2 linked regions of the Oreochromis niloticus genome follow. The protein of the gene in region 1 interacts with the protein of each later gene in a pairwise test. Links are inferred from orthologs where the notes say so. Each region holds a gene or a part of one and is shown in the gene's direction. Other genes may lie near its edges. The genes, in order: ankrd40 and ahcy.

Region 1 (8,174 bases):
GCACAGATTTTACTTTGAGAGTATTAATAAGAAATACAGCTACAGTAAAAAATAACTTTTAGCTCACCAGCTAAGTTTAAACTCATTTTTTGTATTTGAAATGGAATTAAACTTATGTTTCCTGTCTAATAGTAGGTGATGTGCATGTTATGCTATCTTAAGCTGTGTTTGTAGGCTGATTAGCCCAGGGTAAACTGACTCACCGAGGGGGTGGAGCTGAGTAGTTCCCTCTCCTCCTTCAGCTGCTCCACCAGTTTCATCATTCCCTGGGCCTCCTCCACTCGGCCCTCAGAGCCCAGTTCCTCAATCTGACAAAAAGAAAAAAGCCATGTTACAATGTCACGACTTGATTTATGGAGTGCATATAAGAATTTAGGTGGTTTTATTTTAAATAGTGTGATCTGTAATACAGTCAGGAAAAAGCATCTGAAGTGTCATACAGTCTAGAGTACATGCACAAAAACAGCTGTGGTCACAACAGGTAGCTGATCCTATTTGAATGATTTCAAGTCTGAAGTCAGCTTACACTTAGATCAGTGTGAAGAGCAACACCTTTCCTTATTTTCCCAAAGGGTTCAAAATCTCCTTTCACAAATTACATTTGTTTGTTATTCAATTATTTTAAGGAGAAACTGCACAAGTGTGGGTTGCAGTGAACCTCTTGACAGGACAGCCTTTATCAGACTCCAATGTAGTCTTTTCAAATGCATGTACAGTTAGCCATGCAGTCCACATACCTTCTAAATTCACAAATTTTGGTGGAACAGTGAAGCTGCAGAGTAGCAGAGGTAGTTAAAGTAGAGGAGTTTAAATATATGTGATCAACCAGCCGAAGTAATGCAGACCGCACAAGAGAGGTGAAGACATGAGTGTGGACAGAGAGGTGTGGGTAGGAATGAGTGTCAGGGGTGATTTGTAACAGAATGATAGCAGCTACAGTGAAGGGGTAGGATTATCAGATGGTAGTCGCACCTGCTATGATGTATGAGTTAAACTCAGTTTAGAGCTCAAGGAGGCAGAGTTAAAGATATTGAAATATTCATTGGGAGAAACCAGGAAGGAAGACTTATGGATGTAAAGGAGGAGGACATGCAGAGAGTTAGCGTGACAGGGGAGGATGCTAGTAATAAGGTCAGAGGAAGGCAGGTGTTCCACTGTGGCAAGGCATTAGAAGAAGAACTTGTAGGAGACCATCAGATATCCTGATGCAAGAACCCGCGTTCAAATCTTTCAGTTTTTCCTCAAACACTACTAATTTAAAGATTTCGGGCAAACCTGCACAACCAGGTCTTCGATCTTCTCTGTTAGAACCTGGACTTTCTCCTCATTCTTTCCTGATGGACCAGGGCCCTGCAGAATGAATACATGAGTACAACTAAGTTCAATACATCCTAAGCAGAAACATACAGGTAATGTTATTTTCTTTTAGATTCATATCTTGCACTGTGGTCCGAGAAAACATGAAGATGCACAGAGGAGTTTGAGAATGATGTTCTCAAATAAAAGCACGAACCCCTGCATTCTGCTGAGCCTGGGAAAGTGCAAGCCGGGCATGCCCTCTGCGGATCCGCCGCTCCACTTCCGCCAGTAGTGACTGCAGATAGCGCAAGAAATCTCGCTCATAACCCTCCTTCATGAAGCGAGAGCTTTTCTCATACCTGGATATAACGACACAGAATTGGTTAATTATGTGTAAAATATCAAGCCAAAAAAAAAGGAAAGAAAAAGAAAAAAAGCCACAATAAGAACTTACATTTTTCGAAGATTTTCATCATGGATTTTCTCACATGGACCTGGGAACCCAAAACAATAAACATATTATTGTCAAATCTCAAGGGCTTTGTCCAGTTTATAATACATTTTGGGAATACAAAGTTCCCAACTTACCCAAGTCAGAGCGAGTGTTTGTGAATAACTCAGCAGGGCAGAAGCCACACAAATAGTACCGACAGACCTGAATAAAAGAAAACATATCAAACAGTTTTATGTAAATTGTGCCTCCATAGTAGATCACATTGGATTAAGTGACAGCATGTTAGTTAGACCAACTATAAGCAAATGAATGTGGTAGTCGTACAAATTTACCTAATCAATTTCTGCTTGAACTAAGAACACAAAAAATACCCACAACACTGCAAGTGAAACAAAAACACAACAGCATGGAAAACAGTATTTATTATTAATATTAAATATTAATGCCGAATTACATACAAAGCAGCATGTATGTAACCGTATTAAGTCTTCAGACATCGCAATGCCAGTTTATGCAATAAAGCAGAGCATAACCTTTAGAGAACGTAATGTGCAGGTCCTTTCACACATTAGCACATCGAAATCATTTGTATTAACACAGTTAAACTATTAGCCCAACTATACCCAGAAAACAAGTTGCTAAAACTGAAGTGAGCCCTATGAAACCTTTTAAGAATGACCAAATCGTGATGCTAATCTCGCTAACACGCGTGTTCAAGCACCACTGACTCAAACCGCCCGCTTTTCGCCATCGATTCTGTGCGTGAATCGAGAAATTTTAATTTGGAGGCCATACTGCTTAAACTAGCCGATACTCACCGCGCACGCCATGCACGCGTATTTTGGACACCTCACGGTTAATAGGTTTTAAAACTAGCTAAGCTAATGGTAGCTAGAATGCTAACTTACGCTCTCGTCGTCCCACCGTACGTTGGATCGCTTCTCGTCAGGGGCCAAGTTTCTATCTCGACCCATCAACTCGTCGAGTAACTGGGCGGCAGAAAGCATTTTTCTGCGGGAATGTAGCCTTAATTTAAAGTACTACAATAATATCCAGAAGGCCTAACTCACACCATCTGCTGCGCGAAGTGCTTCTAATCAAAATGGCAGACCTTGTAACAACAACGCCCGCTCGCAGTCCGAGTACAACCAGCCCAGGAGCTGCTCCCGCGGCCTCTGAACCGGAAGTACTAGTCTGACCATCGTGTCCAGGATTCAGTTCTCCGTATAGTGCTGCAAACTTTTACCATTGATCAAAAACGGACAAAATATGCAATTTCTATTTGTATTTTGATCAGAAATAGATGTTGCGGCACTGCGTATGTTTGTGCTTTGTTTTATTTTGAAAGTTTACAACGGAAGCAAGTTCAGATTAGTCTGATGAGCTTGGAAAGAAAAGCGTTTGGACTTCTTTAAGGTTCTTGAAGACAAATGCTGCATTGAATAGCCAGATTGTGGTGGTGTATGAAAAGGCTCATCAGAGGATATCACACAAGGACATTCAGAGATGAACTAATGTTATTTTCCACTGGCATTGGCTCTTTATTTGATACTGTAATATATAATGTTTACTTGTTGCTTTTACTCAGTTCCCATCGGTCACACTAAAAACTTCAAACTCAGTGAATGTTGATAACAACAAACACACGTGAAGCTTTCTGACTGCATATTTCACAGATGCAGTGCTATGGCATCATCAAAATCTATCTCAGTGATGCAGATTTTGCCAGATCCGATTACTGCCAGAAATGATTAATAAATGTATACTTTTGTGACTTCAGTGCTGACCAAATATTTATTAAAGCAAGTCCACATAGATTTCCTGTTATTGTCCCCAATGTGTTTTAGTTTTCCTCTGTCACACCAACCCTCTGCATGTCCTCTTTCAGTCCACCATCTATGAACTGTAACTTTGTCTCCTCTCCTTTCATTTAGCCATACATCATAACAGGTTTTACTACCATCTAGTAACTCATTTCAACTCCCTCTGAGTTTCTATGCACCTTTACAGCAACACTCAGAGCAAGCATTGCATCTTCTTACATCCAGTGGTGCCTCCCAAAAATGTTTTATACGGTAGTCATATGGGGGCCACTAAAACTATTGGGCTGGCAGAGCCAAAACAGAATTCACAGTTTTATTATGCTGTTGTCAAATATAATTTCAAATATCATATATTAGTTTTCTGCTAAGAAAGTTAATATCACTGAAAACTAAATAATATTCTGAAATCCTCTTGATCGGCCCTCCGCTCTTCTCAACGTACTTTTTTCACTCATTTGTGCATTTCCACCTCTAACCTTAATCACCCTAAACTGCTATGCATCTTTTCCACATTGATCTCTTACCATAACCAGTTTATACAACTCCTGTTCTCTGTTCTTAGTGTCCAGAGCCTTACATACAATCCACTATTAGCCTTTGCCACTTCTCTTTGCTGTACACCCAGCCTCCCAGTACTCTTGTCTACTTTTTCTTTGTTAACCTCTTCCTTTGAATACTTAGTTGTACTCCCTCACTTTACCACTAAGACTCCTTATCTTCGTTCCTCTCGTCTTCTTGCAATTCCCCTCGCCACTCATAAAGTCTGAAACTGTGATTCTTTAAAATTGCTGCCTTGCAGCTGTAGTATCCCTGGTGTATCTTACACCAAAGTTCAAGTTAGTGTAGTATCGTGGGTGTTTGCTCCCCTCTAGTGGCATACTGAGGAAATTCAGCTTAAAAATGTACTTCAAGTTTAAAACCAGTATTTATAACTTTATTAAAATGGATATAAAAACAAAAGTAACAGGTGTGCTTGGGACAAATAATCAACAGCTGTTTAGGTTTTTCTGGAGTAGCGATTATAAGTGTAGGGAGGTTTATTCCAGCTTGCCTGCAACACGTGTGAGTAAAAAACAGTTGAAGTACTTTGAACTTTTATCTCCCAGTTATTTCCTTATTCATGACAGCCAACGGCAGTATCACACAATTTACGTGGGGAATCGCACGGGCTACGCGATTCCTCGGAGGGGAACTAACATTTGTGCTCACTGTTGTCACATCTAAAGATGCCCCCCCGACGAGGCGGCGGTGTTTTTGGCAGTGCATTGACGGAGCTCTGACACTACTGCTTGATTGAATGAGTTTATAGCGAGTGCATGTGGTGCCACTGTAACGCGAACTAACAGCAGAAACACGCGGCGGGGACACGACTTGACGTGTGAACGCCAGAGACGGTCAACACGTAGTTGAAATAACCAAAGCGATTTGCTGCCATAAGCTAGCACCTCGTCGAGCTAGCCAGTAGGTAAGGTTAGCCTGGTAGCTAATGCTAGCGGTTACCAGTATATTTAGCTAATTAGTATTGGCAACATAATTCGCGTGGCCTTTGCGTGTCCTATGAGCGCACGTCGCTAGCCGTGTGAACCAAAAATGTCCACAAATTCGCTGGATAAAGAGCTACAGGAGCAGCTGAGAGAGGCGTCTGCCATCGGGGATATCGATGAAGTGCGGGCGTTAGTGGAGAGTGGGGTTAATGTCAACTCACAAAACGAAATCAACGGATGGTAAGTGTTTTCACCGATTTATAGTAGTATTTGTTCGGTCGCGACTGCAGCCGGCCAGGAGTTGAGTGCAGTCATTGTAGAGCAGAGCTACAGGGATTAAAAACACTGCTCAGCGTTATCCTATTACGCCAAGCAGGGCTTGTTAATCAGCCAGCGCTGCCACTTTTAGCTTTACTTTAAAACCAGCAAACAAGCAAAGTATTGAGTAAAGTGGCTGCTTCAACCACAAGCTTTTTCTCTTTGCTGTAGCCTGGTTATTGAGTTCGGAAACACAAACCCACCTTTGATTATTACATTTTCACGCATGCGCCCATCATCAGTTACTTTGCACCCATAAAGAACCAAATAGAGTCATATCGAGATTTTGGTTAAGTTTTAAAGTAATATATACATTATTTATATGTTTCCATTTTGTATGCCAGTGCCACACACTATAGTCAGCTTAATGAGAGGTGGTACCACTTGAGTGATACAGTATATTTCTGTTATTATTTTTCCTTTTCTTTTTGTACAACACTAAATTGTCTTGTTTCTCCAATAATCCCTGCAGGACGTGCTTACACTGGGCATGCAAGAGGAATCACAAGCACATAGTGTCCTACTTACTCAGTTGCGGAGCAGACAAAGACATCCTCACAGCAAAGGATGAGTTAGCGTCACAACTGACATCCAAGCCGGAGATCAAAAGACTGTTAGGAGGTAAAGTCAGCATTTCTCACTCTGCTGCTCCCTGTGTCACATCGGTGTAACTGGGCTGGTTACGGCTCAGGCCGTAGAGCGGGTTGTCCACCAGTTGTAGCATCAGTGGATCGATACCGGCTCCTCTGATCTGCATGCTGAAGCTTCCTTGGGCATCCATCAGTGTATGAATGTTAGGAAGTGCTTAGGCATAGATAAAAGTACTGCATGAATGTGTAAGTGCGATTGAGTGAGTGAAGTGTGTATCTATAATCAGTTATAACACTGGGCATTTGTGTTGACACATCTGCGGCAATCTTTGCTATTTTTTCGAGTCTGTTTCCAGGAAATAATGCCCCCTCTTTTGTGATCATTATTGCAACAGTTGAGGTGGAGGAAGTGCCTGAAGTGAAGGAGCCCGAGTTGCCAATCGTCCCCAACTACCTGTCTAACCCGCCCTTTATGTATTCCAAGATGGACAAGAAGTCAGAGGTGATTCACCTTACACAAAACGGTTCTGGAGAGCACGCTGAAGACACGCAGAGTGATTCGGCATCTCTTTCGCCAACGCACGAGCCTCCTCGGAAATCACAGAGCCTCGTCTTTGATGCCTCCGCTCCTTCCTCAAATCCCACCATCAACCACAGCCAAGCCCAGACTGGGGAGTTCATCCCTGTGAACGAGCAGAACGGTGTCTCACCCAGCACGGCTGCTTCCCACAGTCACGCTGTCGTTAACTGCACGGTGCCCATGGACCTATCAGTCGAGCCTCACCTCGTCAACCACGCCGATTACCCGCACACAGTGGTGCACAACGGCACCGTGTGTTCGCCTCCACTGGCCTCACCCAGTCCCAGCTTGGCTAGCAACGGTGGGAGCCAGGTCCAAGCCCCAGTGGCAAGCACAAACCCAACTGTGAGCAGACAGCAGTCCATCCCGCAGCAGCTGAGTTACGGCCAGGCTGGTGGTGCCATGCCAGCCTTCCAGCCTTTCTTTTTCACCAGCACCTTCCCTGTCAATGTACAAGGTGGGTTTACTGAGAATTAAAGATTAAAATAACAGGAAATGTTTATCTCAATTTCAAACACATTAAGTGGGAAGAAACAGCTCCCCTGGTTTACTCTGAAGCTTCGAGGTACAGCACCACAAGTATCAGCACATTTTTCTAATAAACATGACGTGCGGTTTACTTTTTATACATCTTGTTTGATTAATGTTTATGCAAATAGAAATATAAAACCAACAGCATGGATTATTTTCTAGAAACTGCATGCTGTAAGGATTTCTTAGCTGAGAGTAGTAACTTCCTCCTTTGCCTTGAGTTTTCCTGGCAGCTAGCAGAGCCCCATTAAATTACTGCACACTGCTAAACACCTTCTGGTGTCAGGCGTAGCAGGGGTAAGAAAGAACCAGGCTCTTTGACACTTTGTCGGTGAATGTTTTGACAGTAAAACTTTCATGTGGCATGGCAATATGGATATTTGCAGCTGAGTTACTAATAATATCACAGATATAACAACTTAAATTGTCTGCATGATGTCGTCAACCTGTCAAACCAGAAACTGGTCTTTATGACAAAATATAACCAGCATGCTTTCTTTATAAATGTGCTTTCATAAAAACTAAACAGACCCTTTCTTTTCACTTTTTAAATGATCAGTAAATGAACTGTTCAGAAAGAATATTCAGTCTCTCATAGTAGTACAAAGCATTCATAAGGTGCTGCTGTCTGAGCACAGACAGAAAAATCATATATTTGCGTTTCCACAGGTTACATGTTACCATGTGTGCTTGAGATTACCAAAACTTCTCAACCACTTTGAGCTGTAGAGAAAGTTCAAATGGTTCCTGAAAGAAAATAATTATTTTATGATTTTACAGCCAAAATGACAAGATGCACCTGGTGCCTGTGTGACACTTTGGTGGTTAATGTAAAGATGTATTGCTGTTGTTCTCGCTCTCTAGAGTTGGTACTGAAGGTGCGTATCCAGAACCCCAATGCACGGGAGAACGACTTCATTGAGGTGGAGCTGGACCGCCAGGAGCTCACCTATCGTTCCCTTCTACGAGTCTGTTGCCGTGAGTTGGATATCAGCGCCGAGCACGTGGAGAAGATCCGCAAGCTGCCCAACACCATGCTGAGAAAGGTACGGACACAAAAGCCTGCTTACTCTGTGTAGGCTGATGATGTTATTG
Region 2 (8,313 bases), on another chromosome or scaffold:
CAAGCATTTCAGGGTAACAAATAACTGCACAATAGAATTAAAGCAAAAAATAAACACACTGGAGGACTATCTGATAAAAACTAATATAATGCTGGTTTGTAGACCATATTTTGTCTCAATCCTCAGTGCACTCTTGCAGCTTAGCATGCAGCAGTTAATAACAACTTAAGTGATTACATAGGGGTAAACAGATGACAACAAGCATCGGAGTCCTGCCAAAAAGTTCTTTTTGAACCCAGCCAGTTATTGGAAATATTCCCAAAATGAACTTCCACCAAAATACAACAGCCTGTGAACTTGAAAGAAATTTACAAGTACAGAGACAATATGAAATAAGCTTTATTAATTAGCTGAGTTAGCTTGCTAATATCGCAACAGTGGTTGAGTGCACAACCTTAAAGCTAGCGGCACAATACTTGTGATTTGGTCAGTACCACATTAAACCCATAAAAAAGGCCATGTGTCAGTTTATTAGGTCAAGTTTGGTCATGACACACAAGCTGGACCTTGTCGGCTAAAGTTACATTAGCTAAAGCAAACATTTCGGTAAAAGAGAAAAACACACATCATGCCATAAATTCAAAACATGTTCCAACTTTTGTAGCTCTCTTTCCTTATAGTTATAACCAATGTTACTCACCTTGAAAGCATATTCCAAAGAAGACGATTAGAAAACGTCCAAGTAAAGTGAGCATGTCGTTAACCGCCGATTCCCCATGATGCACCTCGGTAGGAGTCACGTGAGGCAGTTTTGAATCCTGCTGTGCTCAACTTACCCACATTGTCAAGTTCACATAAGTTTCTGATTTAGCTGGACATGAGTTTTCAAGTTAGCTTTTTTTGGTGTAATTGGGACGTTTTTAACTTGTAATTCTATGTTATAACAACAACTTCAGTCATCTATCGTCAAACTGATATAGAATAATATGTTGAAATAACAAACATCTAGAATTACATTTTACAGTGCAGGGTTATAATGCTTGCACCTGTTATTCTGTGTCATAGACATTTAATAGCGCAGTATTGTTACTGAAAATACGAGATATCCATTGATAGCCGGATCGGATTGGATCTGGACACAACCCACAATACAGGTGACAGCTGTTGGCCTCCTTTCACAAGGTTATCTGCTAGAAGATTAAACCTCAACCATGTTCTTTGAGCTATTAAGCCACTCATCTACTGTAGTTACAAGCTAATGAAATCAAGTGGTATTTTTATATGCCAGTTATCTAGTCACCTTATATTATACATGTCTGCGTCTGCTATACAGGCCTCAGAATGCAAAATGAATTATCCATAATATCTGGATGTATCACAGGAAGAAAGTGCAAAACAGAAGAAAATTATTCACCTAAATAGTTCTTTAAAGAAGGTTTTATACATTAGGCAAATACCAAGAGATCCCAGACATCCTATATCATGACATGAACAAATTATACAGGACTGCAGACATGCAATAAATGTTACCAGAACAAAACAAAACTATAGTATCAGCTACAGAAGGTGCTTAGGTCCTTGCTTAGAGACCAGTGCATACTGTCACGTCACTGCCAAGTCAGAGCAAAAATGTATGGCTCTCACAACATTAAACTGACAAATCTTATCATAAACAAATATTGTATAGTATGAATCCAGCACACTCTAGACCTAGCATACCTTTAAACTGCAGTCAAATTCTCTGCATGCATAAGCAAAAAGCTGCTTAATCAGGTCTAATCTGCACTATTGGAATTTGTTTTCCTCACAATACAAAGACTGGCTCAGTTGTTTGTCCTCCATTACTGCTTCTCCAGCTCCGGTTGTGCAAGTATCCTCTAGTGAACCATGTAGAATCTGTGATTGAACAGCTATGGCCTTTTTCCTGTTAATAACCAAGCGCATGACTATCAGTGCCTACTTGATGACACTGTCTGAAAGCCTATACTAGTGTCCCTACTTTTAACGTGCAGTTTCCGTTTTCTCTGACACGCAGCATTTGGCAATTGAAGTGGTTTAACACTTTTGACTCCTGGTGTTGTCTGGGAGTGGCTGTATGAACTTGCTTTAACTGGGTAATCCAGTCTACAGGCTGTAATACACTGGGTGGCTCCACTGACCTGACAGATTGTTCCACTGAGACTAAACTATCTGTGTGTGTGTATTTTGTAAATTTACTGTTTTTGGAAATATGAATCATGTTTGGGACATAAAGACAAATAATTACATAAATGCTATATAATCATGAAAGCTTTAGAAATCTAGGCAAGTAATAGGTATTATGAGTAAAAAGGTAGACCTTAGACAGAAATTGGTACCCTAACTCACTGCTTTTGGTCATGTTTGAAACTGCAAGGGTACTGGTCTAGTGTGTTGTCTGAAATAGAGACGATTTTGCGTTTTGAATTGGAGATGGACCCCGTGTCTCTCATTCTGGGCCTCCCAAGCCAGCGCTTAATCTCCAAGAATAATAGTAGGTTGTATTGTATTCTCACCTATGCGGTGATTGCATGCATTAATGAAAAAGTACCAACTGTTACTGTTAAAGGCTGGCAAAGAGTAGTGTTTGATCTAGTGCCACTGGAATATCTTACATGTATATTACACTCAAAAACAGACCAATTCTTTATGGTGTGAGAACCCTGCTTGAAATATGTGGGACCTGATGTCTCTAATGTCATGCTACAAGGATTTTCTTGAGTTCTCATGCTGTATATTATTACTGGGACCCCAGGTATTGTTTAGATGGATCTGAGCTGGTGTTCTGTGTTCAGTTTCCTTGTTTTTGTTTTGTTTTTATTGCTGTGAACTGTACACCATATTATATTATGTAATTATGGGTTGTTTGTGAAAATGAAAATTAATAAAAATATTGTTTAAAAAAAAGGTAGACCTGAACAAGGAGATACAATGAAAGTAACATGTTTCGAAATTAAAGTGTAATTAACTGAATAAAGGAAACATCTCACACATTTTCATAGCGTGCGGGGTTTAAATGTCAACAAAGATGTCGGGACTACGGTGGATTTGAAAGCCAGTCAAAGTTTAGGAACCAAAGCATACATATGATCCTACTGACCACTTGATCTCATTAGTAAAACATTTGAAAAACACATCTTTTACCTAACCATATTACATTTTTAAATATTAATTAAAATGATTAAATATTATAAAATATTGTGTGAATAAACCAAAAAGTTGAAAAACTTGTGGGATAAATACACTACACTGCCAAAAGTATTCACTTACCTGCCTTAACACTCATACGAACTTGATTGACATCCCATTCTTAACCCATAGGGTTTAATACAATGTCGCCCCACTCTTTGCAGCCATAAGAGTTTCAACTCTTCTGGAAAGTCTTTCCACATGGTTTAGGAGTGTATTTTGGGGGATTTTTGACCATTCTTACAAAAGTACATTTGTGAATTTAGACACTATTGTTGGATCAGAAGGTGTGGCTCACAGCTCTAATTCATTCCAAAGGTGGTTTTATCAGGTCAGGAGTCTGTGAAGGCCAGTCAGGTTCTTCCACACCAAAGTTGCTCTTTATGTCTTTATGGACCTTGCTTTATGCATCGGTGTGCAGTCATGTTGAAACAGGGATGACCCCTTCTTGTTTCAACATGTTTCCACAAAGTTGGGAGCATGAAAATGTCTTTGAATGCTGAAGCATTATGAGTTCCTTTCACTGGAACTAAGAGGCAGAGCCCAACTCCTGAAAAACAACCACACATCATAATCCCCCCTCCACCAAATTTTAGACTTGGCACAAAGCAGACAAGTTCTCCTGGCAACCACCAAACCCAGACTCATCCATTGGATTTCTGAACGGAGAAGCATGATTTGTCACTACAGAGAACGCGTCTTAGTGGTGGCCTGCTCTATACCACTGCATCCAACGGTTTTGCATTGCGCTTGGTGATGTAAGGCTTGGATGCAGCTGCTCACTCATAGAGACCCATTCCACAAAGCTCTCCATGCACTGTTTTTCAATTTGAAGGCCACTTGACGTTTGGAGGACTGTAGGGATTAAGTCTGCAGATAGCCGGTGACCTCCGCGCACTATGCGCCTCAGCTTCCTGCTCTGTGATTTTATGTGGCCTTTCACGATATAGTATATGTTTGCCTCCAAAAAACCTACAACTTTGCTTTCCCACTTAAGCATAAATTCATAGTTCTTGAAGACTGAGTTCAGCTGCAGCCTTAAATTGACCTAATACAAAAACTATATTATTAAAAAAACATATTTATTAACAAAGGAAAAACTTACAAGAGGACCCTATTGAAGTTGCTATATAGGAAGAACACTGGAGTATGTGTAGGAATAACCGTAAAGCAGCTGCCTGTGTGCAAAATGTTATTCAACTTTCGCAGTCGGCATTACACAATAGAATAAAGTAGTTTACACTGTCACTTATCTACAAACCAGGAAACCGCCGACAGAGTCCAGCCTGAACTTGCTTACACACTCAAACTTCTCGCCTCAAGACCTCATTTCATGATTGACTGGACGTCCCACATCACCCGTTACCCAATCAAGTCGTTTACGCGTGGGGCGGGAGCTGCTGCAGCCAATCGGAGTTCAAAAGAGAAGCGCGTTCTAGTCGCCCTGTCGAGTGAACTCGCCTGGATGAGGCTTCGACGATAAAAACCGAGCCGTCATGTTTTCGTCCCTCCCTCTCTGCCTCTGTCCGTCGGCCAGGCTCCCGCTTCTCTCAACCTTACCGGAACGTAACACCACAAAACAACCATGTCTGAGAAACTTCCCTACAAAGTTGGTCAGTGTCAATGTTTATTGTTTCTGCCGTACTTGTATATCAAGTTAAGCTAAGCACGTTCGCTTTTAGTTAGCTAGTAATGCGTTAAGTTTGCAGGTTGGGTAACGGTTCCCATAGGCGTTGAATTTAGTGTAGAGCCAACCGTATACCGAAATAAATGTTTTTGTATGCCTAAGACTAATTTTTTACTTATCCCAGACTTTGCAGGGCTTTCTGGACTCTATTACCGCTAACTTGCTAGCATGTGGTGAAACGTGATATGTTATTACCGCAGTTTAGCAAGCTGTCCAGTTAATTTGTCGGTGTTTCTTAGTCATTTTAGCAGTTAACTTTTAGATTTCCTTTTCCCGGTATGTGAATAATGCATACTTTGATTCATTTCTGAGAATGAATCGACATGTAACAGCCATACTTGCATCAGGCATGGGCTGCTCCGTGAACGAAAGCTCACCTAAAGCCTCTGGGAGTTGTAGTCTATCAGTGGAACCGGTGTCGCTAAGAACCTTTGGTTCGAGCTGTTTGTAAACTACACCTCCCGTGATGACTTGCGCTTCACCGCCAGTTTCTGTGTGAGTGACAAGAACAGGCATAGACAAAGCTGCACTGAATGCGACTTGCAAACCAGTAACGGAAGCACTACACGTGGTGTTTGCCTTTGCGTAAGCTTGATAATGTTGATGTCAGGTCTCTCTGTTGGAATACAGTTTTTTGTTTTTTTTTGTTTTTATGGTTTTGTTCCCGAATTAGACTTGGTTCTCAGTCACAATTTGCTATAACTGAGCTGTTAATTAATTTGAACTGTGCTTCTATGTCTGCCATGAAAATGGACAATTGGTCTATTGAAATGCACCAAATGTGAACCACACCTGCCGTGGATGATATTCTGCAGCTGCCTAGAAACAGAAGCTGTTAGGCAATATCCCGCTAATTGATAGGCATGAGACGAAGTCCGCATGCAATCCAAGGGTCAAGAGTTTTAACACAATAGCTGAATCTGTTAATTTGTGATATGTTAATATATGCAATAACACTCATTTACTACAAGTACAATTACAAATGGTTAATCAGTAGTTAACTACAAACATTTAATCAGTACTGTCTTTTGTATTGTACACTGCCTTCCCAAGTGCTGCTTGATTACAAAAAAAATCATAACCACAGTCATTGTGGTCAGTAATTATATATAAATAACAATTCTTTTACAAACTTACATTAACTTTGGAGAAATGGTAAGTTTAATAAACTTATGAAAGAAGAAATGTACTTTTTAATTTATTTCCTTTAACTGCTAATTATAACTAAACAGAAAAAATAGATTCATGACCTTTATAGGGAAGCCATTGTCAAGTAAAAAGGTGTATTCATAGTTGAAACAACAAATTGTTGCAAAACTTGTTTTTCTGTTGTAGCATTCGAACTGAATGTATTGTTTATATTTGAAGTTAAAATGTGATTTATTGCACAGCCCTAACCAGAAGGCTATTGTAGTGGGTCGACAGCTATGATTACAGTAACAAGCCAAAGCAGCATGTTTCTGAGAGCAAGGCTGGTAGTGCTGCCATATGTTATTAAATTATTATGACAGTGGTCAGAAAATTTATTTATAGATCTGGAATTTTTGCTGTGAATTTATGTCTAAAACTAAAAGCAAGAAAAATTAGGTGTATAAATAAGGTCTTAACTAGTGGTAGGTTTCAAATATGCAGATGGCATTGTAGGGAAAACAAATCAGTCAACTTAATTTTAATGCCACTTGGCCATCATTGTTGTTGTCCCTCACACAGTTTACACACTTTAAAATTTAGTTGCTTTCTTAATGGTAAAAGCAACAACTAAAACAAAACAAAACAAACAAACAAACAAACTCCGAAAGCCAAAGAGATGTAATTTACTGTTGTCTGTGGCAAAGACAAGTATCAGATTTTGTGTAAGAACTGCTCCACTTTTGAATAACCCCAGTATAATTCATTTTTGAATCCTAATATTTATGCAGAAATTATATTTATTTTACATGTAATGTACATGTACATGACATAACACATTCTACACTTTGTAGGAATGGTTTGATATTAATATAGGCACATGGTTGTTCTGAAAGTGCACTTCATACAAAGCAACAAGAGGCTGAAGTGCTAACAAAGAAACAGGATCAAGAACAAACAGACTTTTTGTAGATTTACGTGCTCTCTGTAAAGATCTGGCTTACTTGGCTCATTCCAATTTGAAAAGGATAATCACACTTCCCTATTGCATGCCGTTCATGACATGATTTTATTTCCTCAGTGTGACCAACTTGTGGAACAGCAGCAACAGCAGCTGTTATGAAAGTGAAAGAAGGGAGTGTAGAGACAAACCTCCAAAAGTGCAAATCTGTTATATCACAGCTGTGGTCATGTGAATTCTCCACCTACAACAAGATGATTAGAAAAGAGAAGATTATACAATTTCATATAAGAAATCTGTGCAGATGAAACTGGGTATGCACAGGGTGCTAAACTTGCACACAATTTTGCTGGTATTCTGGACAGCACAATTAAAAATATTAGATTTGCCTTTTTGAGACTTATAAAACTGCAGTTTAAAACACAACAGAGTTGCTGATTTGCAAAACCACATCCTGATGATGTGGTTTTATGCATTTATTCCCTCCAATTAGTTCTTTTTGAAAAATGGAACACTCCAGACAAATAACGTATGAATGTTATGACTGCCATTTGTTTTTTTATTTATTTATGTTAACAGGTGTTTTCCTTAAAGAAAAACACTCAAGTTTTAAACTTTTGGACTTGAATAAACAGACCAAGTCTGATGCATATATGAGGCTTTACCTGACAAAAAAAACATCCACCTGAGAATGCTGGACCAGAGAGCAAGCTTATTGCATTAATCAGTTTTATCTTTGTACTCCTTTTGACAACCTGCTGTCTCTTTTCTAGCTGACATCAGCCTGGCTGAATGGGGACGTAAGGCCATCGACATGGCAGAGAACGAGATGCCTGGCCTCATGAAGATGAGGGAGATGTACGGTCAGTCCAAACCTCTAAAGGGAGCCCGTATCGCCGGCTGCCTCCACATGACCCTGCAGACTGCCGTTCTCATCGAGACCCTCACTGCCCTCGGAGCTGAGGTGACATTTAAAAGCTGCTTTTTAATATTTATTTATCAAGAGAGCTTCCAGTAACTTTGCCTACATTGTGCAAGGGCACATATGCCCTCTTACTTTCTGCATTTAGACATAGTAATGTCTTTTTGAGAACAAACTGTAGGTCCCTTTAAAGTTGATGCATATAGATCTGTCAAAATCCTTTTTGTTGTTTTTCGATAAGACTGTGCAGACCCTCAAGACAACTACAGTAGAGGACACATTAATTGATTCATTTATTGGTACAGCCCATCTGGAGTCTGGCTTTTCTCCCCCTCTGTGTGCCTCAAGGCCGTTGTATCTTGTTATCATGTTGGTTTTATCTCTCTGACCACAACTGGTCTTGTCCTGCAAGAACCTGCACCCTGAGACCTAGCAGAGAACAAATAACAATCTCCCCTCCCCATTTTT

Evidence for each region.
Region 2: the proteins of ankrd40 (region 1) and ahcy interact in binary tests that used the Homo sapiens proteins (3 or more experiments, as listed by UniProt). The two-hybrid records come from large-scale screens. The link is inferred for Oreochromis niloticus from reciprocal best matches to the Homo sapiens genes ANKRD40 and AHCY.

Annotation. Positions count from the first base shown.
Region 1 is NC_031969.2:16,507,306-16,515,479, forward strand, and holds the start of ankrd40 (ankyrin repeat domain-containing protein 40), read left to right. Parts: upstream 1-4,708; 5' UTR 4,709-5,166; coding exon 5,167-5,300; intron 5,301-5,850; coding exon 5,851-5,999; intron 6,000-6,363; coding exon 6,364-7,005; intron 7,006-7,943; coding exon 7,944-8,125; intron 8,126-8,174. Other genes in the region: luc7l3 (luc7-like protein 3), read right to left, coding at 204-308, 1,276-1,350, 1,514-1,658, 1,754-1,793, 1,888-1,954, 2,662-2,760.
Region 2 is NC_031970.2:14,730,740-14,739,052, forward strand, and holds the start of ahcy (adenosylhomocysteinase), read left to right. Parts: upstream 1-4,601; 5' UTR 4,602-4,732; coding exon 4,733-4,760; intron 4,761-7,696; coding exon 7,697-7,887; intron 7,888-8,313. UniProt on the Homo sapiens protein: Catalyzes the hydrolysis of S-adenosyl-L-homocysteine to form adenosine and homocysteine. Binds copper ions.